Linked DNA regions of Arabidopsis thaliana. The protein of the gene in region 1 interacts with the protein of each later gene in a biochemical or structural test. Each region holds a gene or a part of one and is shown on either strand. Other genes may lie near its edges.

Region 1 (16,025 bases):
AGTCTTCTTCACATGCATATTTGTCTCGTTTCGCGAGTGGAAGAAGAAGGATTATGTAAGAAAACGCCAACTTTGGAATACAATAATATTATTGTAAGAAAACGCCGTATGAATCCGAAACCTATAAACATCATAATTTGCCTAGAAATTTGTAACTTTTATCGTTGTTAGGTCAAACGTATAAAATGAGAATGATCATCCCATGCTTGAGTGGCGTGTTCAACTAGACCAAATTTTTTGTTAGAGCGGTGGAAACGCCTTTGTTTTTTAAAAAAAATTGGCTTCCCTATAAGCAACAGTACTGTATATTAGAGCTTCACTAGTGCAATATCTTTGTATATTCTTCGATGATCAGTGAACATACTACCAACGTCACGACCTTTTAAAACTTAATTATCAATTTTGGTTCACAAATAACAAAATTCGACTCTTTTTGTTGTTGTTTTTGATAAAAAAAATTGCAGACACACCAACTCCTAAATAGATTAATACCGTGTCCAAGCTGAACAAGAAATCCAAAACTTGAAAAAACTTCACTACACACTAGTCCCGGTCAATTTCATTTACCAAAGCTCATACGTTCTAAAGAAGACTATGGGTCGTAGATCGTAATAGTTAGTTTGGTTTAATGGAAAAAAGTCAATTCTTTTACTTTATTAGAGGTTTGGTTGAAATTTGTAACTGATTATTCTTTCAGTTTCAATTGATTATCATATATTTTACAATTTTTATACTTGCACAAAAGAAATTAATCGAAGATTTTTTTAAAAAAAATGATATTTCTTGGTCTCTTCAAATAAAGCAAGCCCTTGATTACGGTCAAACGGAGCACGTTACACATCATCAAGTCAATAATCTAATCAAATACATATATTCAACTCACAGTCCTGCTAATTAGGCCATGCATGGACTATAGATACATTATCTTACCTTTATGTGCATCTCTTATCAGGCCATGCATGGACTATAGATGCATTGAAGTATCTAAACTTGAATGGGGGCTCACAAGGATAACATGATCAGCCTAATATCTTCTAAATCTGTTTAATTTTACCGTCCTTTTTTCCATGATTAAATCATTTCACTATTCTCATACATATCTCATGCAACGACAAGAGCAGCCTTTTGACCTTTATCGTAGCACATTCCTCACTTTCACCCATTTTTGTTTAATGTATATCCATCAAATACAGCCTTGATACTCTCTTTTTGTATGAAAGGCTATTTCGTTTTCGTTGTTTTGAGATAAAGATGGACAATTAATCAGATTTACAGATAGCAAATAATGTGGACTAAACTAGATGAAAAAACTACTATATTACATTTTTGTTTTCAGTTTATATACTACTGCATGTATTACATCTTTAGGCATAACTACGGTCCACAACACACAGATTCGAGGATAAACCTACAACGACCCACCTCTGTTTATTTTAAGATAATTTATTTTTGTCGACGAAGAAGACTTCTTCAGGATTTATATACATTATTTATTGTTACCACTATCGCAGCTCTGATTATCATTGTTTTTTTCTTTATATAATAATAACAATAAATAATGGTATTATTTATAGGCAATAAAGGCTCGACATGAAATTTGAAAGGACCCAACGTTAGGAAAATCGTAATGTAGGACCACCCACCCACTTTGTTTATATTTTCTTCTCTTCTTTGGGATCACTCTCGTGAATAAGAAGCGCCACAAGGAGCGTTTTGTTCATTTTTCTCTTTCAGCTTCATAAAATACTACACACTTCCTCACATTATTCATCCTCTCTTTTCCCTTTTCTTGTGTTCATATAACTCAAACCAAAATATACCGTCTCTATCTATCTAAATCCCAACCCATTTCATATAACGTCAAAGAAAGTTTCTTATTCAGAAAAACAAGGCGATGGATTTTGAATTTGATGATCAAGAACGGTTTTGTGCGACTCCTAAGCTTCCTTTGTTCTCGATTCCATTTAACAGAGCATGTGACACTCCAGGGCTAGCGACGCCGCCTGTGAACATCGCTGGATCAGTACCTTTTCTATGGGAGGAAGCTCCGGGAAAACCTCGCGTCTCTGATGAGAACAAACCGCTGGCTTCCAAGCAGAACGAAAGAGAAGGAGGAGGAGGAGGAGTCGTGCGGTGCCTTGAGCTTCCGCCGAGGCTATTTTTTCCAGCCGATGATGAGCCATCTCCGACCACAGTTCTTGATGGGCCTTACGATGTACCTCGCCGGTCTTTATCAGTGATAAGGAGAAGCGAAAGAGCCTCTGAGGGTAGATTCGAGTTTTCACGTTCCACCAATAGCCGCTGCTGCGACGGTGGCGGCGGTACAACGGTGAAGATTAGTAGAGTTAGAAGAAAAGGAAGCCTCTTGAATCTCTCTCATTCCAAATCGCAATTCTTGGTAAGTTTTGAACACTCATCACCTTTTCTAACATCTTATTTTTAGCTGTCTAATTACACACTCTTACCGGGTAGTTTACTAGTAACTAGCAAGTTAATCGTATTCTTTTGTAGTCAAAGGTAGTCGATGATTCAGAATTGCAAACACTATAATTTTCGTTATCAAAAAAAGGAAAATACATTATTACGTTGTTCAAAGTACCAACCGTTTTATCAAAAATTTCAAACTTTATTCAATGATTTCTAACTCAAAACAAAACTTCAACATTTTTGGGATTTGAATAAATGTCCCTTTTGATTAAAAAGTTTAGGTTTTCCCTTCAAAAGTCTTTGGTTACTCTATATAGTATGGAGTGTTTTTTCAATATGCTTTGTTTTTTTCGGCTTGTGCATATGAATTCATTTTTAGGCTCATTTTGATTACATAATAATAAAATGCAGGCAAGGGTTTACCAAGGATTTAAGCAAGTGATCCCATGGAGGCGGAGACAAGAGAATCTTCCACGGATGAGTTCTTCCAATATTTAAATCAAATCTCTTCGATTTCTTTTATAAATCATTAAATCTTTAGTTAATTTTATAGACTAATATTAATATCCATCTGTATACATATTACCACATAATTTACAGACATGAGGAAAAGTTTATTCTTAACTTTTTACCAAATTAAACCCTGAAACTACACTGTTCCTCTAGATAAATAGGATTATTGTAATTATACTTGAAAAAGGTAAAAGAATAGGGAACATCTTAATTCTTAAATGAAGGAGGACAAGAGCATTATGCAAAACCAAAAATTTATTATACAAAACATAACTACATGACCTTTCTATTTGCAGTTGCTAGCGACAGCAATAATACTTTCCTGAAAAGGAAAGCTATAAAAGTTGATTGATCACGATTTGGGCCTAAGCCCAAAACTTATAAAGTGGACCGTTAAGTTAGTTAAGAAGCCCGCGTTGATTTCTCTTATCCTCAGATATTTTTTTACGAAAATCCACGGCCACTAACCGTAAAGGACACTCTTTTGATTTTTCTCTTCTTCTACTTAACTCGCTTTGCCTGACTCACTGAGTCATGGCGCTTCTGAGGCCGCATCTTCATCGCTTTCACTCCAACACTCTCCGCCACTCAGCCTATCCTTCCGCCGACGCTGGCGGTGGCCTTGTCGTCTATCCCACGTATGGTCGTCACCGTTGCTCCGCGATTGCGATCGACGCTCCGTCGTCTCTGACTGGCGTGACGCCGATTCGTTGGGGTTACACGAGTGTTCAAGGATTCCGAGATGAGATGGAAGACGACATCGTAATCCGTTCTGATGCTGTCGATAGCTTCTCCTACGCAGCGGTCTTCGACGGCCACGCTGGGTCGTCCTCTGTCAAATTCCTCAGGTAACTTGTGTTGCTTCTCATGCAAGCTCTGTCTTCTAGGGTTTAAGTGTTGACGATGGTGATGATGATTGATAGGGAAGAGCTGTATAAAGAGTGTGTTGGTGCATTGCAAGCTGGATCGTTGTTGAATGGAGGCGATTTCGCAGCAATCAAGGAAGCTTTGATTAAGGCCTTTGAAAGCGTTGACCGCAATTTGCTCAAATGGTGAAAATGAGCTTAAATTTCTCAGAGCTTGAATGAATTTTGATGATTTTGAGTGAAATGAAGTGATTCATCATGCGTTTGGATCCAGGCTAGAAGCTAACGGTGACGAAGAAGATGAATCAGGTTCAACAGCCACTGTAATGATCATCAGAAATGATGTTTCCTTCATTGCTCATATTGGTGATTCGTGTGCAGTAAGTCTTCTTATTTATAAATGGATCATTGTAACTTGGTCATGTCTAAAGTCTTGTTAATGCATTGAAATAGGTCTTATCTCGATCTGGGCAAATCGAGGAATTGACTGATTATCACCGTCCATATGGAAGCAGTAGAGCAGCTATTCAGGAAGTGAAAAGGGTCAAAGAAGCAGGTGGATGGGTGTGTCTTCTTATTTTCCATGTTTCAAATTCCTCAAGTATCATTGGATTTGCTTATCTATCTCTCCGAGAATTTGGCTTAAAACCGATTCATTGCTTTTTGTATAATCAGATTGTCAATGGAAGGATTTGTGGAGACATAGCTGTATCTCGTGCTTTTGGTGACATCCGGTTTAAGACAAAGAAGAATGAGTTGGGTTCTTTCTCTTCTCACAACGGCTCTTCTATTTTTATAATTGTTATCTCATTGCTCATAAGGGTTTCATACACAGTATGTTAAAGAAGGGTGTTGATGAAGGAAGATGGTCCGAGAAGTTTGTTTCCAGGTAACGAACTACTTGGAAGCTGTTTCTACTTTTGCTCGTCTCTCCTGTTATTCCATTTCAAGGATATCTGTTTCTCATGAGATAAATTCTCAGAATCGAGTTTAAAGGGGACATGGTTGTGGCGACTCCAGATATCTTCCAAGTACCTCTGACATCTGATGTGGAATTCATTATTTTAGCTTCTGATGGATTATGGGACTACATGAAGAGGTTTCCTTTTCTTTTTCCTCTTTCCCCCATTCAGTCATATGCTTTTTAATTGGGAAAAGTATAGAGCTTACAGTGATCAATGTTTTGCCAATACAGCTCAGATGTGGTTAGTTATGTTAGGGATCAGCTCCGGAAACATGGGAATGTGCAGGCAAGTTTTTATTTCATCTTCTTATCAAATTAGTTTCAATAATCATGTATGACTTTAAGGCTTAACTAGTTTCCTAACTGTCCATATGTAACAGCTTGCTTGTGAATCTCTTGCGCAAGTAGCTTTGGTAAAATAGCTAATACCCTCCTCAGCCTTTCTTTTGATTAGGAATCAAAACTTTCAAATGTACGATTTTGTTCCAACGTTACAGGACCGGCGATCTCAGGACAACATTAGCATCATTATTGCTGATCTAGGGTAGGGGTTCATCTAAACAAAAGTTCCACTGCTATATGAAACCTCTGTATACATTATCTATTAGCTATTCAATCTATATACTCTTAACGTGTTTTGGTTTCGATTTTTGCATAAACAGAAGAACAGAGTGGAAGAATCTCCCCGCGCAGCGACAAAACGTAGTGGTTGAACTGGTTCAGGCTGCAACGACTATCGGTTTAGTTACTGTTGGCATATGGATGTCTTCACATCTATCTTAAGTGAATTGAACATTCTATCTCTTTCGTTAGTGTATATAAAACCTGTAACTATGTCTAACACTCTAGTCTTCCCATAGAAATGGAGATATGAAGATACCTCACAAACAGAACCAGCTTTATATTATTATATATCCCACTTTCACAAGCGTTGAAACTACATTTACAAATAAATGCATCTTCCAACGACTAAGAGAAATTTTTTGAAAAGAAACGCATGGCTCATGCCACAGTTGGTGGTTCCAATTTTTAGCTACTTGATATTTTCTTTAGGCATCTATAATTCTTTTTGTTTTGTGACATTCTCTGGTTTATCATATCACAAAAAAAAAAAAAAAATCTTGACATTGTATTATATACATTGTGGACTCTTCAAAAGCCAACTATCAACGCAACCACGGTGGAATTTGTGCATGTAATCTCGTTGCCTAACAATCTAACATACCCATTCTAGACGAGATGAATTAAGAAGTCAATTGAACAAAAAAAAATTATGATTAAAATTTGAAGGAAAACAAATTCAAAAGTTAGAGTTCATCATGATCAAAATAGTCTTCGTCGTCCAAGTCTTCGTGATGAACTGCCTTGTAAAAGACATCTTCGTGGTGCAACATCTCTTCAAGAGATAGTTTACCATCTTTATCCTCATCCGCCTAACAAAATAATTAAAATTTATTGGACGTTGAAAGTCTAAGCATTATACATATACATCCACTATTAATGAGTTTCAAAGTTGTGAGAAAGAAAACTTAAGATTAAGATTTAGGTTGGGAGAGACTAACCTCGTGGCAAAGGAAAGTAGAATAGAATTTGGCATAACTCATCTCACCAGGTTGAAGATATTGCAAAATGGGTCGAAGCTCATCGGCCACGAGGAATCTGTCTTTGTCTCTGTCCATCTCTGCGAACAGAAGCTGAGGTGTTGGCACATTCTCATCCTCCTCTTTCTCGAACTTTGCGAATTCTTTATACATTTCATATGCATTTTTTACAAACTCTTTGTACTCTAGCTTCCCATCACCGTTCGTGTCCATGCCCCTATATATTATATATATCAAACAACATGTTGTTTCCTAGTTAAGCTTCATTTATGATCATATCGAAACACGATATATCACGAAATGCTTACGTCATTCGCTCCTTTAGAACCCATCTTTGTGTATCTCCGTTTCTGCTGTCTTCAGGGTGCAAGAAACTGCAAATCCCATATTTTCATTCATTTTTTATTTTCGGAAATTTTAAAAGTGATGAGATTTTTCAAGGCATATTAATTACTTGTTGAACTCCTCAATGTCGAGAGAGCCATTATGATCAAAATCAGAATTCTTGAATTGCTCCATCCACCAACCGGCTTCACCGTGACCCTTCTCGTTTTTCTCTGTTTCCATATTATCATTGTTTTTTCTTATTTGCATAATGAAGAAGAAAAATCTCGAAGGATCAAAGACAAGTTAATATATTACCAATGTCTTGTTTAGAGAATTGAGGCAAGTACTCTTCGAAAGTTATGACACCGTCCTTGTCCTTATCTTGTAGCTCAAGCTCTTTGGCGGTTCTGTAAACCATGTTGTCTTCTGTCTGTTGCATCATCCATGTCTGAAGCTCTTTCAAGCTCACAAAGCCATCTCTTGGAGACGCGTCAAGCAGAGGAAACAAGAACTTGATCCTCATTGTCGTGTTAAGCCTTCTCTCTTGTGCAAAATACTCCTCAAACATATCATCTTTCTCCTCTTTCGCAGCCTCCACGGTCTTCGTACCAGCTTCTTTCTCATGAGACAACCTCTCAATCCGGGTCACCAAAGGGTCAAACACCGGCATTTCAAGCCTCCGTCCGATGCGGCGGGTTATGAGACCCTCAATGGATTGAGTCTGGTTTTGTTTCTTATGAGCGAGGAGGATGAGGAAGATGATGGTGGCGGTTAGTATCGTGTAAACCACCACCTTGGCCATTTTCCGGTAGTCCAAGGTGGGGTAGGGAGAGAAGACGAAAGGGCCACGAAGATTGCTAATTCTGTTTTTGTATTTGCTTTATTGGGGGCTTTCCTTAAATCATTAAATTATGTTCTATCAACCGTTTTTGCCGCCAAAGTCGGTTATTTATTCGTTGAGGATCCAATGACTCTTCCTCTGTCTATATGTGTGTATTTATAGCAAACCAACAAAACCGGTTACGACATATCATAAAGCCTAAAGGAACAAAAGATTGTTAAAATGTAAGAAGAAAGAAATCAAAGAACAAGACTTGGTAACATCCAAGTGATATAGTGTTGGAACATCCCAGTGATGTGGTAGGGATGGAAAGAAAGTTTAAAGTAAAGAAAAGCTTCTTACTAAGTCATTTGATCATATACATTGCGGATTTAGAGAAGACGTGGTTAGTATTTGTTTAGTCTGCCTGCTTTGCAGAATCTCGGATCCAGGGCCAGTCTGATTCACAGAGATCAAGGGGAGAGTTTCCATCCTCATCTTTAGCGGCTGTGTTTGCGTTCTGTTTAACCAGAAACTCGGCGATAGCTTCTCTGTCGCATACAACAGCATAATGCAAAGGGGTTTGGCCTTCGTTGTCCTGTTCAACACAAGAACCAAAAACACATAAATAAAGAAGTTGCTAACTTTGCAGATAATGACTGGGTAGGAATTTCTCTTTCGTCACCTTAGCATTCACATCGGCGTTCTTATCGACCAGAACTTTGGCGATGTTGAGGTGGCCACGGTCTATAGCCCAGTGCAATGGTGTGCGACCTTCACTGTCTGCAGTTTATGGGAAAATTAGAATGCAGATCCAACATCACGAGAATGAACTTCCAAGAAACGGAATATACAAGCAGAGACTAACCCCTTGCATTTACAGGAATGCCGCTTTCAATGCTTTTCAGTAAATTCTCGACTTCTCCTTCTCTAGCAAATCCGTGTATGGCATCAATCTTCCTGAGAGATAAAACAAAAGTTCAATGAGCAGAGGATTAGTGTTTCATTCAGATAGACAGGAAGAAACGAACAGCTCAAAGTTCCATGAGACAATTGTAGCCATTTCACCATCAAAATTTGCTACAGCTAGAACGAGACAGTAATGTTACATATTCACCGAGTTTATGAGCCTCTTTCACAAATCAGGATACTTATATCTAATCTAGACATGAACGCAAGGATCAGGATATAAAACACATGAGAATACAAGAAGAGAACCTTACAACTCATTTTCGGACTCCTCATCATAAACCAAAGAGCTAAAAACTGGTCCCATGGTTCCTCTTGAGTTGGAGGCTGCATCATCCCCACCCCGACTTCCGGCTTTCTGTTAGTGAAGCTCACATGAACAGGCCAGAGGAAGAAACCGAAGCAATCAAACAAAGAAAAGGGGAAAAAGCTTTATACCACGCCACCGTCTAACCAAGTTGGGTAAAGCTGAGTGACAATCTCAATATACTTCTCCATCGCCTCTTCAGGTGGCATAGCTCCCAGTTTCTGCCATGCTTGCCTGAGATAGAACAAGATCATGGCACATCCCAATCAATGAAATTGCAATCTTACAACAAACCACAATTCCATATACAATCAACTGTTACAACAGTAAAAACCACATCATCGTCCAGCAGTTGCATAAGCTAAGAAGCAAACTAGGTGATTGTCTATGAAGAACCTAAAACCTCAAAAATTTCCACCTCAAATCAAATCTCAAACAGTTGAACAAAAACACCAGAAAATGATACATAGAAGTTAATGGCACAGCAGATTCAACGAAAGAGAGAGATACCACTTGGCACGAGCAGTCATTTTGAGAGCTGATGGCTGAGGAGCAGTACACGGCCCTTCCGTAGCAATCTTATACAATCCGTAAAGCTGCTGCTGCACATCACTCGGTACCTTCTGCGAAAGCCGATCTGCGGCGGCGGTAGTCACAAAAAGAGTGGCGGCGCTAAAAGCCTCATCGAGTTCCGTGCTCTCGACGCCTTCCCAATCATCATCTTCCTCACTGTCGTCACCGGCAACGCTATCACTTCGGGAGCTACCCTGCTCCGCCACAAGCGAATCCGCCTCACCACCGAAACCACCGCAAGAGGAATCGAGACGTCGCGAGTCAACTCCTTCCGGTTTAATTTCCAATTGAGACTCCTCTGGGTGACGAGTAAGAGAGAGATTGTCTTCTTTAAACGTGACGACGATCGAGATCAGCTTAGCGAGAAGGTAAGAGAAAATCAAACCTAGGATCACAGACTGAGCAAGTTGAGCCCAATCACCCATTATTTCTAAAAACGAAATCAAATTCTCAAAAACGAAAAACCAACGCCGATAATTAAAACCCTAGAGAAATTTCAACACAGAGTCTCACGAGGAGGATGAAGAAGAAGAAGGAAGCCAAGGGATCTGGAGAGACAAAAAGGAACAAACTTGTGTTGTTTTCCACCGATTCAGTCACCAAACAAAAAGAGAAGTTCCTTTTCGTTGTGGGCGTTAAGACTTTTTAATGAATTGGATCAAAGTTTAAAAGACGACACATAAAAAAACTTGGCGACGAGTGACGACAGATCACATATGGGTCTAATTGGGGAAGAAGTCGACGTGTTGTACCCTAATCTTTTTTGCTCCTTTTACCAACAAAATTAAATAAATATTTCACAATAACACGTAAAAAAGTTAATGAATTCAATAACAATGTCAAATTTTGTGGTGGAATCGTGGTCGAAAACAAATCTAGAAGACGTGCATGGTGTTGGGATGATTAAAGGCTTGACTCATACGACACGTAAATTGACATGTATCCATAAGAGAAAATAAGGTAGACCACAAACTTGAAGGCATTAGATTCACGTGAAGTGGGCACGAAAATGAAATCCCAACTTTTTTTCTTATAACAAAAGATAAAACTCATACATGATATTAAATAGTCCCACTTCCAAACATTGCTTGCTCAAATGAGCATCTCATGAAGAGAAAACCCAACCCACCCATACGAGTGAGTGAATCATTTTTACATGGAATACTCATTTAAGCAAGAAACATTAGAAAGTGGAAAGGAGAGTTTATCACTTTTGTGACTTTGTCACCATGAGAGTAAGAGAGATGATGACTCTAATTGATATATATCCCTATAACTATATATGAGCAACGTGACTCCACAAACAATAAAGAAAATTACGAAAATACCCTAAACTCAAACAAGAAACTACCCACCAACCCAGGCTACCATACTCTACTACTGAACATCTTAATAACTCCAAGACACACTAACCAAATACTTGAACAAGACTTGTAAGTAAAAGCAATGGAATGGTAGCTAAAGCTTGACTTTTATCCAACAATCAAACATTCTCAAGCAAACTACATGCCTGGGGGATTCATTCCCCACTGTATCGTGTAGATTAATACAAGGAAACAAAAAAAAAAGATATTTTCTCAATTACCTACCCTTTGATCTGTAATGGGTCACTTAACCTGTGGTAATTTTGAAAGACTATTCGTGTTGTGCTCCATACCGGCATTGGATATTTTCCCCTTCTATGAGCTTCTCAACTGCATCGAGAGGAAGACCCACCAGCTCTAACGTCTTTTTCCACACTCTCTGTGCAGTTTCTGTGTTGTGTGCTTCTTCGGAAGGATTTGCAGGGCGGCAATCTTGAGAGATGAATGGGCAAACAGGCCAATCATCGTTTTTTAGTGTTTCCCAGTACTCTGGAATCTGAGGATCTGTGGCCGAGAATAGAGAACTTCTACAACCTTCTTGGGGTGAAAATATGAAATAAGGTATCACTGCGTAAAGAGCTTGAAGAATCCTGGATAGATCCCTGGCCTGTAAATTTCGGAAAGAAATAGGCAGTTCAACGCAATGAATTTCTGAGAAAACAGAGGAATCCTGCACTTGTAACGAAATGAAGTGAAGCTAATACTCACAACATTTGTTAGGACAACACCAGGGGATAGACATACGACGCTGACTCCTGTTTCCAGAGGAAGCTTTTTGAAAAGAATGCTACTAAACATAATCTGGAAGATGGAAGATCAGAGAGCGAGACTTAACTCACCAGTTTCTGAAAATAAGCCTCTTTCAGAAAATGGAAACTACGGCAGATGAAAACTACGGCAGATGTCATTACTGTAAGCTCACCTGGGCAAGCTTGCTGCTTGAGTATCCTATAAGGCTTGAGTACTTACGTCTACCAGAAACAACATTCATGTCATCCGGGTCAACAAAACCGACACTATGCATCTACAAAAGTGAATCCCACAACCCATTATCTTGCATGAAAAAGTAATAATCAAAGACAATAAATATAAACTGTTTCAGTTTTCATAAACAGCCAGGCACAGAATTCTTCTGAAATGAGTAATGACATAGTGCAGTCATGGAAGCGTATTTGGGGTTGAAACTTTCAACAAGCTATGGTTGTATCGTTTCTCTATACCAAGACTGTGTTAATACAATATGCATATGTAGTTCAGTGATTTAGAGAGATCTATATCAGTTATCTACATATTCTGCAACCAATTGACAAGACCAGAGGTTTTCAAGTTACAGAATACACAAACAAATCAACCTGTCAACATGATTACTCATACCAAAGAGAATATAAACTAGAGAATACAGACTTGGAGCCTGCAGTATCAGTGATCATAGAGAACTTACAACGGAATTCACATTAATGATTCGGCTAGGAGAGCCTCGGATCAGAGACGGCAAAAGAAGTACTGAAAGCAGCGCTGGAGCTAAATGATTCACTTGCATGTGCTGCTCATATCCTTCCTCTGAGAATTTTTGCGCCTCTGCACAAATCAGAGAACAGAGCATTTTAAGGTTACTTTTCCTCAACACATACTGCAGAAAATGTAGCATCTGACAACCAATCATTTAAAAAGGAGACCCATTGGACAGAGTTGCTATGAAAGAACATGCCAGTTCTCACCAATTGGGTCCATCAAGTTGGAATGTTGATGATGATGATGATTGGTTCACAAGTATGACTTTGAGATCATAACAAAGAGATGATGAAAATAGATACAGGAAACAACAGAAGGGGAAACTCAATGCTTATAGCTAAAACGGCAATAAAACCAACCTCCCATAGCAAACATCCCAGCATTGTTAATCAGAACATGCAAAGGTCCTAACCGAGCGTTGAAAGCCTCAGCAAATCTCGCGACAGAATCCAGTGAGAGTAGATCAATCTCCATTGCCTTTACAAAATAAAACAGAGTATTATTATCAACTATCTAGACGTTACAAGCCAATAGTCTAACTCTCTAACTAATATACAAGAAATTGGCTTAGCCACAGTCTAGATAGTTCACATATTATTTGAAATTTCTATTGTACAAAACGCTTTATCTCATTCTTGGCTAATTTCAGTCCCAGTAATACACATTACTGAATTGTAATAAGTACATCACCATTATAAGGTTACCTCAATATTGAGTGGGAGACCTTTACCAGACCATTCGTTCTGCCATTGCAGTATCAGCTCCTGAGCCGCCTTTGTGTTCCTTACGGCCATCACAACATGAGCACCAGCTTCTGCAAGCTGCCTGCGACCGAAGAAGCAAAAGAGCTAAAAAGCTTAGGGAAGTTTTCAGTAATTCGAGTCCCAATCTAGACGAAATCAAACTCAATTTGGTTGTAAATCGGAAGAAACGGGGAAGAGAACAAACCTCGCGGTTTCACGGCCAATGCCGCTGGTGGAGCCAGTGACAACGCAAGTGAGGTCGTTGACGGAAGGAAGAGGAAGAGGATTCTCCAAATGAGAAGCTGTGATCCTCTGGAAGAGAATCTCCCCGAAAACACTGCTCCATCCCCTCATCCACTCCATCCATCCCAGATTCTGCTTCTTCTTCGCCGGAGCTGGGGACGGAGATGACGTCGTTTCGTCACTCATCTTCTTCTTCTTCCGGAGTTAGATCTATGACGTTGCACAGCAACAAAAAGACAAAAAGTGTATTTCGTCAATATCTATGGCTTCACAACCTCAACTCCTGGAAGCTCCGGATAATATATATAATGGGCCGGCGAGATTTTTGTGACCCACAAGTAGAAGATAAACAATTTCAATTGACCGGTCATGGACTCATGGGTCAACGATTACACATTGTTAATGTGTTTCATAAATATGTTTACAATGATTTCTATTTTGTAATTGTGAATGTCCTGACTAGTAGTGACTATGCAACCGGTCATAGCATTACTGATCTCGTAGACAAAAGAGTAATAGAGTCGCTCCAAACTTAAGCAAAATGAAAGGAAGAAATGACACTGAGTTATTTGACTACATTCAAGGAAAAAAGTGAGACAAAATCAATCCTGAAATGTAGAATTTGTCCTACTCTTTGATTTTGTGTTCATATGACAAATCTAGTATGATGAATCCTTCTTGTTTTGGTGTCCAATGATTGTGGATTGTGGTTGATGTGTTATTCGAAAGTGGAACATCATTAAACAACTCTATTTTCATGAGTGTTGTTACATTGTTACACATAATAATAACTTGGTATTATGTAAATAAGGAAAAAACAAAAGTAGTTTGACAGTTAGTACAAGTCAAGAGACTCGAGCACTCTACCAGCCTGGATATGAAGCGCCGTGATTCTTTGTTCAGGATCACCTGTTGAACCGAATTGACTCGCCGCCCATATTAAAGAAGCAGATTTTTCACCCAAGAGGCGCCTGATGTCTTCATTTACACTCGCTATTGGAGATCGATCCTTCCCATTTACGTGTCCAACTAACAGTAGTAAGAACTCTCCGCATCTTAACCTGTGAATCAGTAAGGAACTAAACATGACCAAAAGCCTAAACCACTACCATCGGTTACTTACAAAGTGGATGATATCATTCACTAAATCATAACTAGTGACCTTAGAGTTGGAACTCTTAAGGATGTATGAGACAAAACTTGAGATGAGAAGAGCTTAACTAGACAATTTGAAGACTATTCAATGAATTTGACAAGGAAATCGATTTAAAATTTACTAAAAACATAAAAACCAGAAGAGACAAAAAGGAAATGAATCTTCGTTGACGGCAATTTTTATCGTGTAAATACTGTAATATAAACATATGCAAAATGCCACAACAAGTGCCATGAAGAACAAAAGCTTGGTATTCACCTGAGGTTTTCATCAGCTTGTTTGTCTCGCATGAGCATTGCAACCTCTTCAATGCCATTGCAAGCTCCAAAATCCTGTTACCATGAGAAATTAGAAAAGTTAAAATAAAAAGCAAGTGAAGGCCAGTTTGTTCCATTGATATACACAGAAACTTTAACTAGAGGTTTAAATGTGTATCTGTCTGAGAATCAAAACTTAACAACCTGCTTTCTATTTCGTTTATAAACACAGAAGTTGTTACTAAAAAACAGAAACTGAATACTTACCACCTGATTTGCTGATGAATCCAGCAATACTGAGATTAAGGCATCCAAGCAGGCTCCTTGCTCAAGTACTCCTCGTGTTGATAATACATTCATCATTACCTGAAACATTTTATGAGCATCCCAATCACATTAACATCCCACTGCATCAATCTAAAACATGAAGGGTCCAGCATAAATAGACAAAGAAATGAAAAACGTTCAAAGATGTCTCATACACAAGAGTCTCCCTTTTCGCCAAATCAGAGTGAGAGGTGACAAATGTCAAATGCAGGATTCTAGTTTCTAGAGTTCTCTATGCATCAATAGACAAGTAATAAAGTAACAAAGGAAAGTCTTTCTTACGCGGACTGCACCATGCTTATGAGCCAGGACAGTGCTCTGAGGATGGAGAAGGCAGCATCCTTCGAGAACTCTAAGAGCAACAGCAACCTCAGCATCCGTAGAAGGACTTGTTATCTTCATCGGCTCCACACTGAATATATGATCCAAGCTCGTCACTTTATCATCCTCCGCTTCTTTCAATGAATGTTGAAAAAGCACCGGAACCACTACGAAATCACGAAGCTTCCATCATCAGATAACACATTACACAGCATCGATTTGAGAACGACAATGAGGAAAATAAAGATATCAGACGTTGGAGATCGGAAATGGTTTGGGTATGAGAGAAGAGACGAATGATTGAATCTGAATCAGCGACAGTTCGGAGAGTTTTGAGAAGAGATCTAAGACCACGGATGCGAAGGAAGGAGAATTCAGCGCAAGCATCGCGTAAACCGGTCCTGAGGGATAGTGTCAGCTCCCTGTAAAGTCTCTGTGTATTGAGAGAAGTCACCAGCTCTTCGACTACCATCGACGCCGCGTCTGATTCTTCTCCGGTCTCCGATTCTGATGGATTCTCCGGCGTTGCTGACGCGCCATCGCTCCATATCGGTCTCTTCAGATACATCTCTCTCGCTCCGTTTTCTCTCTCCCTCTCCTCTGGTAATCACATTTATTGCGCCAAAACGACAACCACTTAGCTTTGGTAAACATAAAGCAGCACGTAGTCTAAATTTTAAACGGCAGACCTTTCTTTTTCCCTAGTAAGTTATCTTCCAAGCTACTCAAAGACAA
Region 2 (15,497 bases), on another chromosome or scaffold:
TGAGCTCTTGTTTTATTAACAGAAATAATTGTTTTCCTCTGTGACTTACCAACTGGAGAAGCGCAGAGAAGGCCCGAGCTACCTCGTGCTTTTCTTGGTCTTTCATAAGATCAGTAAAGGTCTCGACGTTTCCGCTCTCTTCAACAGTCAGTTTGTTAATAATCCTATCTCCATATTCTTGAATGTCGAAAGGAGGGTGTAGCTCCTGACCATAGAAAAACAAATACCAGTGGATATATAGACAATGCATGAGTTCTCTGACTTCAAGTAAATGGTCACAGAAACTAGGAGAAAGAATATTACTTGTTCTTCTAGGTTTTGCTCAATTTTCTGTTTCCACGTTGAAACACGAGCAGCCAGATCTGTTTGCTTCTCACTTTTAGCTATGTTAGCGAGAAGAGCATCCTACAATATAAAGAACCAAACATTTGAGCTTCCATAAGAATATAGAGCAAAAACCTAATGCGGTCTACTGAAAATTGGAACAACTGTACTTCCAACGTATAAAATCAAACCAATGGTAGTTACCAGGTGTGAGCGGCAGAGATCTTCCAAGCTTTCTTGACAATTTGATTCGCCGTTTTCAAATCCATCGTAGTTGTGAAACTCGGCAGCTCCACCATCATTCTGCATTCAAATTCAAATGAGCGGATAAGGGTTTCACATATTTCGACCAAAATAGATCAATTAGTGAAACTACTCACCATATTGAGAACATCTTCATCCATGAACGGATGTTCTGCATCATCACCATCATGCTCCCCAAAATCATGGAAGTCGCCATTATTGGCTTCATCATGGTTATCCTTGTCATTGTCATTGTAATTGCCGTTAGCACCACAAGGTTGGTTTCCTCCATTCACAAGCATCTCTCGAAGCTGACATCCAAACTATCAGTTTTTTTGGTTTGTTGCATTTCAATATTCTATAAAAGGTATAGAGAAACACAGACCTTCTCGTAATAAGGGATGTCTTGTGATGCTTGCTCGTCTTTACTAGCACAACCGTGCATTTTCCAAATTTCAATAAGCTCTGAACTGATGGGACCGTTTGGTCTAGCGAGAGGGAACATGGAAGTCATATGGTCCTTGGTAATGCTCCATCCAATCTTTTTTAAAATTTTTACTGCTCATGGAATAAAGTAGAACATGAACTAGAAGTAAGATGCAAATCGAAAGATATAGCTTCAGATATTAATCAAGAAAACAATAGCCATTTCCCAACCTTTTTTGAAAGGCTTCACTTTCAACTTCCCTGGTTCATAGGGATTCAATGGCTTCCACGGATCATCTTCGTCAGCATCTGTATCACTAAAATCCATGGCTCCTCCATATTCATTATCCATGTCAAAACCATGATCATTGTCTTCAAAAACAGGAGGCTGAGACCCTTGGTCACAATTTTGATCATTGGGACCATTCCCACATATTGGGGACAAGTGGACATTGGTGCCCTGATTCTTTCCCACAGATGACTTACGAGCACTTCCTCCAGAACGTCCAACAGATGAGTGAAAGCTTTTACGAACTGAGCTGCCTCTGTGGGCACTGTTCCTTCCTTTACCACCATAGTTATCACCTAAAAATTCATTCACCGCTACAGCATCACATGGGTCTAATAGTATAAAATCCCGGTAGAGATGTGTAGTTGCCAACTGCAAGAGATGAAAGTTAAAACGGAGTTCAAGCCCCAAGCTCTTTCTGTTTTTCATACTCTAAGAAGTGGAAAAACATGCTATACCAGATAGGATTCCAATTCTCCTCCGTCACCACTAGTATCCAAACAGTCACCTTCAAGAACAACTAGATTCGCTGGAGGCTTGACAAATTGACTTGGACAAGTATCTCCGCCAACCGAACTGTCCAATCTATTCTTTGTGTCCACTATATTATCAACAATAGCTGGATTAGAAATCTGCTCTCTAGAGTGGCACAAAGATAAAATGTCAAATTTCAGAAATTTCTCTACCTGGGATGTCATCTACATTCCAGAAGAGATCATTTTCTTCTTCATCAACCTGACGTGAGGAGCTTGCCTCATTCTCATTTGATGTACCTTTAGACTGTTCCTGGTCTCTGTTAGCAAGAACAATTGACTAATCAGAGAACCTTTCTCCAAGAATTGCTTAAGGAAAAGGAAGCAAATTTCCAAGTGAGTAACAACTAGCAAGGTGACCAAAACTAAAATTTATATGAAATCAGAAAGTGACAGCTTTAAACACAGCACCAAAATAGGAAAAAGATACGTTTTTTAGATTCAACCATGGTATAAATTTTCTTCATTTGTGAACACAAAACAAAACCCATCCACATAGAAATAGATGGAATCAAAGTTAGCCCCTAAACCCTGAGATGCTTGGAGTATCTAACACAAGTACTAATGTTATTATTCTTGTTCAATTTCACTAAGGAAAAAACAGGGAATCTAAAAGGACAAACCTTTGCTTCGATAGAAACTCCAACGTACGTAGAACTAAATTATACAAGTACTCAACTTTCTTGCTGTAAACCTGAACCGAACCCTGAAGCAGCAAAGCAGCTACAACAAAAATCGAAACCCAATTCTTAATTACCCAAAAAATGAAATAGCTTGACATCAAACGAGAAAGTTCTGAAATTGAAGCAAAACCCACACAGACCTTCAGCGAAATTCACAGGAATTTGCCCATCTTCTTCATTTCCAGTGATTTCTCCGGAACAAATTTTGAGGAGGTACTCTTCTAGCTTCTCCGACAAATCAACTTCCCAATTAGCCACCAAATCCCTCTCCGGCTGTACTGTATGAATCCTCTCGCCGCGGACTTCCCCGCCACCGTGACTGGTCATTCTCGGTGAAGACTCACGGAATTTAAGCTTCTATATGGAGAGATTGGATAATTCATATCCCTAATCCCAAACCCCCAAAAAGAAAAAGCTGAAACCCTAAAAACTCTGAATTGGGATTCCAACTATAAAGAGAAATTTCAATAGAAATATCTGATTTTGTGGTGAAATTTGAGAAATTTTTCTGGGAGACGAAGGGATTGTGCGATGTAACACGAAGATTTCAAGTGATTAGTGAAGATAGAAAGGAACTGTGAGAGAGAGAGAGAGATTGAGAGTTTTGGGAAAGAGAGATACGAATTATTTTGACTTCTCTAGATTTTCCCGCTTCTCATCAAATGCAAATAGTGTTACTATTGGGCCTAATTAATTTGGGCTGTATTGAGACTTTAACAGGCCTTGGACCCATTACTAATAAGTCAAAAACTTATTACCAATCAAACCCCACTTATGTGGGTACTTTTGGTCGGATGCGGAAGTATCCGTCCTGATGATGATGAAGCCAGATAGATTTTTTCTTTTTCAGATGGAGTAAATTAACACAGTCGGGAAGCAATCGGTGGAAAAGGAAACAGCTTTGGAAGGTTGATTCCATTACAGATTCGATTCGAAACTATGGTTCAGATTTCCGATCTTCCACGGGATTTGACAGAGGAGGTGCTCTCTAGGATTCCGGTGACATCTATGAGAGCAGTGAGATTTACTTGCAAAAAGTGGAACACCTTATCGAAAGATCGGAGCTTTACAAAGAAGCACCTGCGTGGAGCAAGAGCAGCAGCAAAGAAGAAGCAGACGAAGGAGTTTCAGGTGATCATGATGATTCAATTTAGGGTTTATTTATACAGCGTCAACCTCCTTAATCCATCAATAGAGCGTATAGGTAAACTTATTAGCCTAGACGTTGAAGATCATGTCGACATATCTAAAATCTTTCACTGCGGCGGTTTATTGTTATGTATCACCAAAGACATATCTAGGCTTGTGGTTTGGAACCCTTATTCTGGGCAAACAAGGTGGATCAAACCTAGAAATTCTTACCACAGATTGGACAGGTACGCTTTAGGATACGAAGAGAAGAACAAGTCGTGTCGTTGCTACAAAATCTTGAGATTTATGGATGATTACGAGGATGACAGGGCACTGCGCCTAATTCGTGAGTTTGAAATCTACGACTTAAACTCTGATTCATGGAAGGTTGTTAATGTCACTCCCGACTGGGATGTAGAGTTTTATCACCGTGGCCTGTCTCTCAAGGGGAATACTTACTGGTTTGCTCAAGAGAAGCTTCCACCATTACCACGCGGAAGAGTGATAACAATATCAGATATGGCTGATTTCTTACTCTGTTTTGATTTTACAAGGGAGAGATTTGGACCGCGCCTGCCTCTGCCTTTCCACTCTTTTGTTGAAGATACTGTGACTCTATCCAGTGTTAGAGATAAGAAACTTGCAGTGTTATTTCAGCCATGTAGTGCATCTACCGTGAAGATATGGATTAGTCGCAAGATTGAGCCCAATGCAGTGTCGTGGAGGAAGGTTTTCTTAGCGGTTGATATGAAATCACTCACTGGTTTTCAGTTTGACATTAACGCTGCAAGTTTCTTTGTTGACGAGAAGAAAAAGGTCGCCATGGTTCTGGATAAAGACAGGTTCAGTTATAAATTTACTCGCAACATAGCTTACATCATTGGGAAGAAGGGGTACTTCGAAAAAGTGGATCTTGGAGAATCTACAGTTTCAAGTTGTGCCTCACTTGTGTGCTCTTACGTTCCAAGCTCAGTGCAAATCTAGCAAGCTTCACCACGAGGCAACCAATCGATTCAATTGTTTTCTTTTCTTATGTATCTGATTTGTCTTGGAGATTTTTTATCTTTGTCTAGTTGTTGTGCCCAGAACTCTAAGTTCCGCCACATAGTTTTTCCAGACTAATAACTTGTTAGAGGACAGAGCTAAGCATACCTGACCTGAACACAAAATTATAGGGGAATGAAATTGGTTTCTACCTCTGCATGTCTCACCATGAAAAGCTCATCATCGTAGATCATCAGGTCTGCTTTAGCTGAGGGATGGACTTGTGTTTTGCTGGTATGACATGTTTGAACATTAATTTGGAGATAACCCTTGTGTGACATGGCCTGGAAAGGGTTATTATTAAAAAGCCAACTTGGTAAAAATGAAAAGAGTTTTTACATCTCCAAATTCAACTCTTTACTTGCAAGAAAAAAATCTGTTGGTCAAGATGGAATCTTTCCCTTCACTTTTGGAATACCGGATGCACAAAAAGTCAAAAACCATTAGCATGAGCTTCTATATTATCATCTCCGGCAGATTCATCATCACTACTGTGACTCTCATCATCACTACTGCCGTCATCATCATTACTACTGCCGTCATCATCACTAGAGTCATTATCACTGTTGCCAAGATTTTGCGAGTCTTCAGTGTCCTCACCACTGTTGTGACCGTAATCATTGTCGTCACTCATATGATAGCGTCTGTAGTGTACCACCCGGTACGTCCCATAGCTACATTAACACAAGTAAGTCAACAAACGTTCACTAAAACAATTTAATGAAACAAAAAAGAAAAGAAAGAAAAGATATTACTTACAGTTGTTCACATTTGTAGACTCGTCTTTCATAGGTGCTGCTGACTCCCTCGTTAATGGGAACTAAAAAGCACTGGTCAACTCTATACCGTATGTCGAAGTCTCCATGCATTTTGTTAAAATTGGTTAAGTCCCAGACTGTAGTATCTAGCACATCTTGCTCATCAACATCAAAAAGAAATAACCCTTCTTCAGGGAATGGGACGGGTACAGTAGAGGTAAGTAAATCTTCACGTTTGCCGAGTATGTTCCTTAAATCCTCATGGTCCAACCACTCTGTTCTGGAGCGTATCAAGACATCCTCAAGATCTGAAGAAATTGGCGAGAAAAGAGAGATAGTAAGGCTATTCAGATATTTACATTCGCAGACCTCAAGCTTAATGATCTCACATTAAACAATCAGCTAATTACAGAGATGTAAAACAAATCAAATTACGGGAAAAAGAACAGATCCAGCATAATTTCCACACAACTTGTCAAACAATGAAAGAAGAAAAGGAAGAAGAACCTGGATCATCTATCACGTCCTGAAGATTATTAGCCATGATTCCGACGTAGCACGAAACCTGATTATATACGAGCCCTGAACCCGCCAAACTCTGCACAAGCCCGAAGAAAACAGCGTTAATGATCGTAGAAATTGATTCACCCGAAACTTGAGGATATCTACACACAGCATAGCAAATACACAAGTTACCTTGAAGCAAACACGAGGGACTTAATCGCTGAACCCCATGGATCTGTAACTTCTGCAATTCCGTCGCCGATTTTAGATTCTAACCGATTAGAACCTCGATTCAATGAATGAAATCGTCAATTGAATACTCTCTCCTCTCTCAATCTCTCTGTGAATCGATATGAGAAAAGAAGAAACGGAAAAGAAACTAAATTCCTCTCTACTGTATCTGTAACCCAAGAATACCAAAGGAAATAGTTAACTCTTAATCCCATTTCTCACACAGGCGCTTTATATATAGAGGTTTAACACTCGACGACTCTAAATTGATTTCAGTTACAAACGGTTGGAATAACTAACTAACTCTCGGATAAGATTTCTTCTCTTCTCTGAACCCAGCTGCTTCAGCTTCAACTAAACATCTCGATAACTTGATATTGAAGAAGAAGAAGACATAAACGACGCCGTCGCCCTTGTGTTTTGGTTTTCTCCAATTAACCCTTAACCAGCTCAATTTCCGGTTTACTCATTAAATTCAAACCGAGTCTAATTAAACCCTGTTTCACATCAGCTTCATATATTATATTTTACCCATATTTTAAACTACTTTATCTTTTTATATACAAATCAATGAAATTTTTTTATTCGTACTTTCTCTTTTGTATATACAAACAAAAGCTTTAAAAAAAAAAATACCAATTAAAATTTTACTACAATAACTTTCTTTTTGCAAAACAATTCACTAAATGCGCACAAAAAAAAATGTAATGGTAAAATTTGGGGATGAATTGAATGAAAACTTAAAAAAGAGGGGCATTTTTGTGAAGTTCCATTTTGTTTTCTCCCCTTCGTTGGCTCTGGAGTCTGGACAACAACGCTAAAGGAGAAATCTCTAGATCGCTTGTGGATTCGAAGAATCTCTCACGGTCGGTTCTTGACGACGGATCAAGCTCTATTCCTCTAGTATCATCTAATCCATCGAGCAATTCTCATTTTGATCTTCCGTTTTCATCATCTTCTGGAATCAATTTTGCTCTTGTTAAATCTGAAAGTTCTGAGGATAAAATCATGAATTCCAACTTCGGGAAGAGATCATCCGGATCGACCAATAGCTTTGATTTCGATCTGGGGCTTGGATCGAGCCAAGGTAGACCTCTGAATGGTCAGAAGAGCCAAACATCTTCTTATTCGAGCTCGAATTCGCAGCCGAGACCTGCGTGGCAGCCTGGTAAGCCGTCGTGGACGCATCAACCTGCACCGAAGCAGAGTACGATCCGATCTGAGATCGGAAGTGGACCGACTTCAATGGTGGGTGATATTCATGGTAAGACGTGGGGGTCAGCTTCGGGATCGGGTTCGGGTATTGGGATTGTGAATAAGGATCCTAGTTTGTTTGGAGATTTGGTTGGTTCTGCGATAGGTCAAGGTAAATCTAGTAGAAACGTGCCGTTGAAGAATGCACCGCCTGTTTCGGCTTCAGGTTCGAGTAAGAGTCCTTATTCTATGGGGAATTTGGGTGATTCGTTGCCTAAATCTGGTAATTCGATGAAAACTGGTGGTGGTATGGGTTATAGCAGTAATCCGAGTGGTTTTTCTGGTGGTTACACGAGCTCCGGTGGTTTTAATGCTAATCTTGGAGGTCCTTCAATGAAAAATATGGCTGGGGGCAATCTAAATGGGTCTGGTCTTCCTTCGAATAGTGATCCATTTGGTTCTTTGGTTGGTTTCGGATCAAAATCATCAGGAAGCAAACCAGGAAAGGTTAACAACAATGCACAGAATGATACTTTTGGGAATTTTCAAGGAGTGTCGAACCTTAACAGTGGCGGTTCTACGGGAACAACTACTCAAATCAACGACTTTGGGGGTTTCCAGGCTTCGAAATCAAACACATTCTCATCAGGAGGTAGCTTCAATGCTTCAAACGTTGATTTTGGTGTGCAACCAAGTGGTCCACAATCTTCGAGTGCAAACGATGATCCATTAGGAATGTTCTCTAATTCCAAACCCTCAGCTGCACCACCTACGCCACAGACCGAAGATTGGGGATTTGAAAGTTTTGACGGTGGGGCTGGTTCCACCACCGAGCTTGATGGTTTGCCACCGCCTCCACCGGGTGTATCAGCTACATCAGCTAAGAACAAGGGCATTGATAACCAGAGACAAGGTCAGTATGCTGATGCCATAAAGTGGCTCTCTTGGGCTGTGATTCTTATGGATAGAGCTGGTGATGAAGCTGGATCAGCCGAGGTTCTTTCAACAAGGGCTTCGTGTTACAAAGAAGTTGGAGAGTATAAGAAAGCTGTAGCCGACTGCACAAAGGTATGTTAAGAAAGGCACATTTTTCTTTGGATGCATCATGGACCATGGTTCATATCATTCTCATCTCAGATCCTTAGTTTACGAAGTCTCTAGTTGTATTGGAATCAGTTTAAGGACTCTTGATGAAATTGATACTGATAAGAGTTTTCAGGTATATGAAACTTGACAATATGAGATTTAGGTTCTTATGGAATCTTAAGATAGATTACGAGTTAGAAATACTGTGCACGTATAGAAAGTTTTAGTGTCTTGCTTTGTAGGAAAATATACCACAACTAAACAGTTCTTGGGATCGCGTCATCGTAGCTAGTTGATTGGTTGTTATGCTCCATAGATGGTTTCTTGTAGACTCAGAACAAAACCAACATCTTCGAAACTTGTTCTGATTGTCAGTTATGCTTCACAGATGTTTTTTGTTCACTTTGAAAACGTGATTGCAGGTACTTGATCACGACAAGAAGAATGTGACCATTCTGGTTCAACGAGCACTGTTATACGAGAGCATGGAGAAATACAAACTCGGAGCTGAAGACCTAAGGATGGTTCTAAAGATTGATCCCGGGAATAGAATCGCTAGAAGTACTGTTCACCGCCTAACCAAAATGGCTGGTTGATCCTTCATATATACGGATACTACTCAAAGAAAAAAAACAAAAAACCCTCAAATATCTATAATCCTTCACATTGCTTTGCTCAATACCGTTTCCTCTCTCATCCATGGACCATGCGTGTGTGTATTTTTTTTCTGAGATTTATTGGTTCGTCTATAATGCGGCAGCTTCTTGTAGTAAGTGGGTCATGAGTGTATTTTTTTGGATGGTGCATTTATATGTTGTTGATTTTCTTACACACTAATTTTTTTTGAGTTTATCATGAAATGTTTGATCATCGATGTCATATGAAATGCCAAAGATGACCGTAAATTTCGCATCGTAACTCGCAAAGATGAACCTTACTTTGAGACGCTGCCTGCGTGATGGACGTGAGACGCATAACGCATACTATTAAATTACCAGACGCTCGTGGACACAACACTTCAATACCGAAAACTAAACTAATCACATTGTGATACGTTTTGTATTCAGAGAGCCAAAAAAAGGCTTACAATTTTGTCGTTATGTGGATTAGCCTTCAATTTGTTGTAACCGTCATGTATCAAGGAACATAAAACTATTAGAATTATTATTCTAATATAAAGTAATTCATTTCACTCACACTTTATTACCATAAAACATTTATTTTGCGCCTATAAAGGCATTTCAGCTCCACCGTAGGAAACTTTCTCTTGAAAGAAACCCACAGCAACAAACAGAGAAAATGTGTGGCGGTGCTATTATTTCCGATTATGCCCCTCTCGTCACCAAGGCCAAGGGCCGTAAACTCACGGCTGAGGAACTCTGGTCAGAGCTCGATGCTTCCGCCGCCGACGACTTCTGGGGTTTCTATTCCACCTCCAAACTCCATCCCACCAACCAAGGTATGTACTCTCCTATTAATCATAAACAAAAATACAAAATCATTCAAAAACACAAACATATAGTTTTTTCTAACCTTTTTAGCAAAAAGGTAAAATAATATTTCTGGAACTTACGGAAGATGATAAAAAAAAAATATTTGTGGTTTTGGTAATGTAATTTATCAGGATTATTTAATTATCTGTGTGGGGTTAAAATTGTAAATTTTGAACTTTGGGGAATCCGGTGAAAATTTTGAAGTTAACGTGAAAGAGGAGGCAGTGAAGAAGGAGCAGGCAACAGAGCCGGGGAAACGGAGGAAGAGGAAGAATGTTTATAGAGGGATACGTAAGCGTCCATGGGGAAAATGGGCGGCTGAGATTCGAGATCCACGAAAAGGTGTTAGAGTTTGGCTTGGTACGTTCAACACGGCGGAGGAAGCTGCCATGGCTTATGATGTTGCGGCCAAGCAGATCCGTGGTGATAAAGCCAAGCTCAACTTCCCAGATCTGCACCATCCTCCTCCTCCTAATTATACTCCTCCGCCGTCATCGCCACGATCAACCGATCAGCCTCCGGCGAAGAAGGTCTGCGTTGTCTCTCAGAGTGAGAGCGAGTTAAGTCAGCCGAGTTTCCCGGTGGAGTGTATAGGATTTGGAAATGGGGACGAGTTTCAGAACCTGAGTTACGGATTTGAGCCGGATTATGATCTGAAACAGCAGATATCGAGCTTGGAATCGTTCCTTGAGCTGGACGGTAACACGGCGGAGCAACCGAGTCAGCTTGATGAGTCCGTTTCCGAGGTGGATATGTGGATGCTTGATGATGTCATTGCGTCGTATGAGTAAAAGAAAAAAAATAAGTTTAAAAAAAGTTAAATAAAGTCTGTAATATATATGTAACCGCCGTTACTTTTAAAAGGTTTTTACCGTCGCATTGGACTGCTGATGATGTCTGTTGTGTAATGTGTAGAATGTGACCAAATGGACGTTATATTACGGTTTGTGGTATTATTAGTTTCTTAGATGGAAAAACTTACATGTGTAAATAAGATTTGTAATGTAAGACGAAGTACTTATAACTTCTTAACTGTTTTGTGGTAGTCCTGATTCCTGAAACTAATGGGAATTAGTTTGTATATCAAACAGGGGTTCCTAACTTGTTATTATTAGGTTAGGTGGAATAATTCTAGGGTTTTTATTGACAAAAATTAACAAATAGTGGTTTTTATGGAAAAAGGTGATGGTACCAGTATAGTGGGAATACACAGAAGAATTTGCAGCCTTTCTCAATTCTTATACGTATAATTCTCGTATGTCTATGAAAAGGGTTATACGTATGATGATTTATGAGTAGTGAGTACATACATCTTTTTCACTACTTTACATGTAATATTTATGGAAAAGGTCTGATCCGTTTGCTCTATCGAGAATTGGAATTGTGAGATATCTTGATTTTAACAGTTTCAAGATTAATGAAGAACAAAAACAATGGCAACAACTTACAAATTAACATTCGGAAGAAAGAAAAAAACTTACAAGTGAGATCAAATTTGGATTTAGTATTTTAGATGTAAGTTACAAATATTTCATAAACTAATAATCTATTAAAAAAAAATTATTCATTGTATTTTACTTTATACCGTAACCTAAACAATAAAATACAAATTTATAATTGAAGGATTTTAATTGTTTAAATTACTCTTTCTACCATATTTGTTTTTATTTCTTTAAACTTACTCTTTCTACCATGCCATTTAATTATTTTTGATTGCAAATATTGTACGTACCTTTCAACTGTGAACTAGTATTATCCTTATCCCTATCGTTTCCCAAATTTCGTCTTACGTATAGTATTAATACATGCATGTGATTAAATAGAAGATAAGAAGATGTTGATGTGTTGAGACTTAAGACTTTGATGCATGAACCTCTAAAGCCTAGTTGGTAACTTGGTATAATAAGATTTGAAGTGGGTCCATAAAATGTTTTGAAGATTGACAGAATCTATTTGTTTCGCGATATTGTCTATTTCTTTGACGTTTTAGAGAATCATTAGTAATTTAATTAGTAATAAACTAATAACTAAGCGGCATCTTTTCGATGTGATAACCAAAATCATATAATGATGCGTGTCTTAGACTCTTCGATACATATGTAGATAAGATAGCCTAATAAATCTCGATTGGTTTCTAAAATTTGTGTTTACTTCATGTTATAAATAGTAAACACAATACTAATCGAATCATGATATTCACGGTTACGACAATGAGTTGACAATCAGATATACTTCAAAAGAATTGTGGTTAATACTAACTAATATAACTTGTTCGCTCAATCTATATATATAAATATATAATCAACCTTCAATATTATGAAACCAGATGCTTATATATATCTACTTCGTAACATTTAATCATTTATCATGCATTCAGGCTGATCGTTTACGGTTTACCCAAATTCAATATATGGAAAAGGTGATGGCATAGTGACGTTATTCAAATAGAGTAAGTGAACTTAAGTTAGTTCTCTTGCATAGAAATTCGAGCATGACATTATGTTTGAATTTTAATTAAAACAAACTCTTATGCAAGAAATTCGTTGTGTTATGTTATGTCGTCAAGAAATCGTAGCCGACAGTATACCATCTCTGTGTGGTTACTTTTCTCAAGCATCCCCAAACTTTATTCTTTTCGATCCCCCACTTGGAATTATCCAAAATGATTCGCATTTATTTGACTTGCAATCAAATAATGTAATCCGTGTGCGTATTGTATATATATTTTTTCATTGTCAATGCAAACGTTATTGTTATTCATCAGTTTTCATAAATGAAACAATAATGGGCCAAAGTAGGCCCATTTATAAAGCGAACGGGTCGAATTATCAAAACATTTCTGTGTAAGTGGGTCTTAACGAAATTGGAGTGGAACTGAAATTAGACCCAAAAACCCTAAAGAATTGATATGTCTTCGATTTATAAGTAGGTCATTTTTTTTTGCCTTAACAAAAAAGCCCTAAACGGAGAGAGGCGGAGAGGAGAAGGAAGACGGCGTGAAGCAATGGTGTCGCTGAAGATCCAGAAGCGGCTCGCCGCATCCGTAATGAAATGCGGGAAAGGAAAAGTTTGGCTCGACCCCAATGAATCGGGCGATATCTCTATGGCCAATTCCAGTAAGCTTTCAATTTTTAATCTCCCACCAATCACTTTATCTCTATTTGTTTTATAGATTGTGTTTTACAGAAACTCTGTTTTAGGGAGTGATTAGAAACGTATAGATCATTTTCTGAACTAGGTTAAGTACTGAGTCATATGTATGAATGCATTTCTAAGTGTTGAGGCCTTATGTAGTAGTAAGATTATTCCTTAAGCTTCGTAGAAACTGTATGGGAATGGATTTTGTAATTTCTCTATAAGAAATTAAGTTTTCAGATGGTGTCTATCTGTTTACAAGCATAGAGTAGCCATCTAGATTCATGCATTTGTCTAACAGTGGTGTTGATATTATTCTTAATACATTATTGGATTATGTGAAACAGGGCAGAACATTAGGAAGCTTGTGAAGGATGGTTTCATTATCAGGAAGCCTACTAAGATCCACTCACGTTCTCGGGCTAGGGCTTTGAACGAGGCCAAGCGAAAGGGTCGTCACTCTGGATACGGTAAAAGGCCAAATGAGCTTTTCCTGCTTGAAATTCCTTTTGATTATTGCTGGTTTAGTGAACATTGTCTTTTGTATCACTTCAATGTTTTTTAGGTAAGAGAAAGGGTACAAGAGAGGCAAGGCTACCAACCAAGATTCTTTGGATGAGGAGAATGAGGGTGTTGAGGCGTTTCTTGAGCAAGTACCGTGAGTCAAAGAAGATTGATAGGCACATGTACCATGACATGTACATGAAAGTGAAGGGTAATGTTTTCAAGAACAAGCGTGTGCTTATGGAGAGCATCCACAAGATGAAGGCTGAGAAGGCTAGAGAGAAGACTCTCGCTGACCAGTTTGAGGCCAAGCGTATTAAGAACAAGGCTAGCAGGGAGAGAAAGTTTGCCAGAAGAGAGGAGAGATTAGCTCAGGTGAGAAGAAATTTACAGGCCATTTATGGCTCTCTGTCATTTTAGTTTTGGCGTTCCCTCATTAATAATACTGTTGGCAATTTTAGGGACCTGGAGGTGGAGAGACAACGACTCCTGCTGGCGCACCTCAACAACCAGAGTAAGAAACTTTGTTCTTTGTCTCTTTCCTTTGTCCGGTTTTGGGGATTGAAGTTTCTTAGATTTATGTTGGGATTTTGTTGTGTTTTCAGGGTAACCAAGAAGAAGTCGAAGAAGTGATTTGGTGTTGAACTTTTTTGCAATTGAATCTTTGAGTTTACCTGTAGAAGAAGCGTCTTTTTTTTATCTTTTATATGATTTTGTCGGAGATTCTTTTCTTCAAAAATATTTCTTATGTTATGGATCTCATTGCTTATTATGAATTTCTCAGTTTTGTTTCTCTTTACCTTTTCTCTTTCAATAGTTTCTGATTCCATTGTCTTAAAACATCAAAGAAGTTGAGTAGTATCACACTTCCCAATTTTGGAGTTACTTGTTCAACCATGTATTTAACAAATATGTAAATCCCAATTTGATTAACTTGAGAGTTTAGTATTGGTTTTGACAACAACAAAAATGATTTCTAATGAACTGTCTACATGTAATTCAAAACAAGGTGTAGAATGTATTAAATTCAAAAGATTTTTATTGAATAAAGGTGGGGTAAGCTTTTTGTTTTCCCCCAATAATTAATCTTGTATAGCTTTGATTCTATGAATACGTGGGGTAAGATTGGTGGCCAAAAAAATAAACACAGTAGCTAACCATTGATTTGAGATTTGATTCATAAATATCTATATCAAAATTTCTTAATAAAATTTTAGATGATCTCAAACAAAGCTATATAATAAGATAATTTGATTATGTTTTCTACATAGTATAAGATCACTGATTTGATTAATAAATGTTAAGAAAATAATATATAGCCGGATCCGGTATCGGAGTAAACCGGGAGAGAGAGGTCAAAGTCGACGTAGACGTAGACATAGTTCATGTTGTTCACTTTGCTTTCTTCGTGCACCTGTATATCAAAAACCAACACCGTGTGTATTCCTCTCTCTCTCTCTCTCTCCCCGACTTTTGAATTTTCCCTCAGATTTGTCTTCCTTTGTAATCCATTTTCGCTCTGGATCGATCTTCCTACGATTTGGTCTTCAGATTGATCGGTTTCTCATCGGAATTCCCGGGGGGGAGTATAAGCATAACGAAAAGGATCAAACTCAGGATCAACGCGACGGGAGAATTGGAGATTTTTTGTTTGCTAGATCTTGAATTGAGCGATCGAATTGGGTAATTGGAGGTTTGAAGAGATCAGAGAAATGGCATCTGAGCAGTTGATGTCTCCCGCCAGTGGTGGTGGACGCTACTTTCAGATGCAGCCTGAGCAATTTCCTTCGATGGTCTCTTCGCTCTTCTCTTTCGCGCCGGCTCCTACGCAGGAGACTAATCGTATTTTTGAAGAATTACCAAAAGCAGTGATCGTCTCTGTCTCTCGCCCTGATGCCGGCGATATTAGCCCTGTACTC

Evidence for each region.
Region 2: the proteins of ACBP2 (region 1) and EBP form a complex in vitro, tested with the Arabidopsis thaliana proteins (one study listed by BioGRID).

What each region holds. Positions count from the first base shown.
Region 1 is NC_003075.7:13,841,541-13,857,565, reverse strand, and holds ACBP2 (acyl-CoA binding protein 2), read right to left. Parts: upstream 10,018-16,025; 5' UTR 9,793-10,017; coding exon 9,305-9,792; intron 9,029-9,304; coding exon 8,926-9,028; intron 8,846-8,925; coding exon 8,742-8,845; intron 8,479-8,741; coding exon 8,387-8,478; coding exon of another isoform or gene 8,382-8,386; exon of another isoform or gene 8,302-8,381; coding exon 8,204-8,301; intron 8,117-8,203; coding exon 7,937-8,116; 3' UTR 7,632-7,936; downstream 1-7,631. Other genes in the region: AT4G27810 (uncharacterized protein), read left to right, coding at 1,895-2,398, 2,839-2,925; TAP38 (thylakoid-associated phosphatase 38), read left to right, coding at 3,475-3,788, 3,864-3,992, 4,081-4,186, 4,260-4,370, 4,482-4,561, 4,642-4,695, 4,789-4,905, 5,002-5,056 and 3 more; AT4G27790 (Calcium-binding EF hand family protein), read right to left, coding at 6,078-6,203, 6,333-6,588, 6,680-6,745, 6,826-6,928, 7,014-7,500; FEY (NAD(P)-binding Rossmann-fold superfamily protein), read right to left, coding at 11,003-11,338, 11,440-11,532, 11,654-11,755, 12,173-12,309, 12,603-12,720, 12,948-13,068, 13,192-13,415; ISI1 (binding protein), read right to left, coding at 14,065-14,290, 14,644-14,717, 14,910-15,008, 15,252-15,457, 15,546-15,858. UniProt on the Arabidopsis thaliana protein: Binds medium- and long-chain acyl-CoA esters with very high affinity. Can interact in vitro with palmitoyl-CoA, but not with oleoyl-CoA. Binds to lead ions (Pb). May function as an intracellular carrier of acyl-CoA esters.
Region 2 is NC_003074.8:5,696,039-5,711,535, forward strand, and holds EBP (ethylene-responsive element binding protein), read left to right. Parts: upstream 1-9,502; 5' UTR 9,503-9,745; coding exon 9,746-9,905; intron 9,906-10,143; coding exon 10,144-10,730; 3' UTR 10,731-11,046; downstream 11,047-15,497. Other genes in the region: HEB2 (condensin-2 complex subunit H2-like protein), read right to left, coding at 50-205, 304-405, 529-627, 705-878, 953-1,125, 1,225-1,654, 1,741-1,883, 1,969-2,075 and 2 more; AT3G16740 (F-box and associated interaction domains-containing protein), read left to right, coding at 3,438-4,613; AT3G16750 (uncharacterized protein), read right to left, coding at 5,107-5,347, 5,433-5,739, 5,939-5,975; AT3G16760 (Tetratricopeptide repeat (TPR)-like superfamily protein), read left to right, coding at 7,175-8,428, 8,869-9,042; AT3G16780 (Ribosomal protein L19e family protein), read left to right, coding at 12,944-13,055, 13,422-13,544, 13,640-13,953, 14,040-14,092, 14,184-14,211; PLDP1 (phospholipase D P1), read left to right, coding at 15,291-15,497.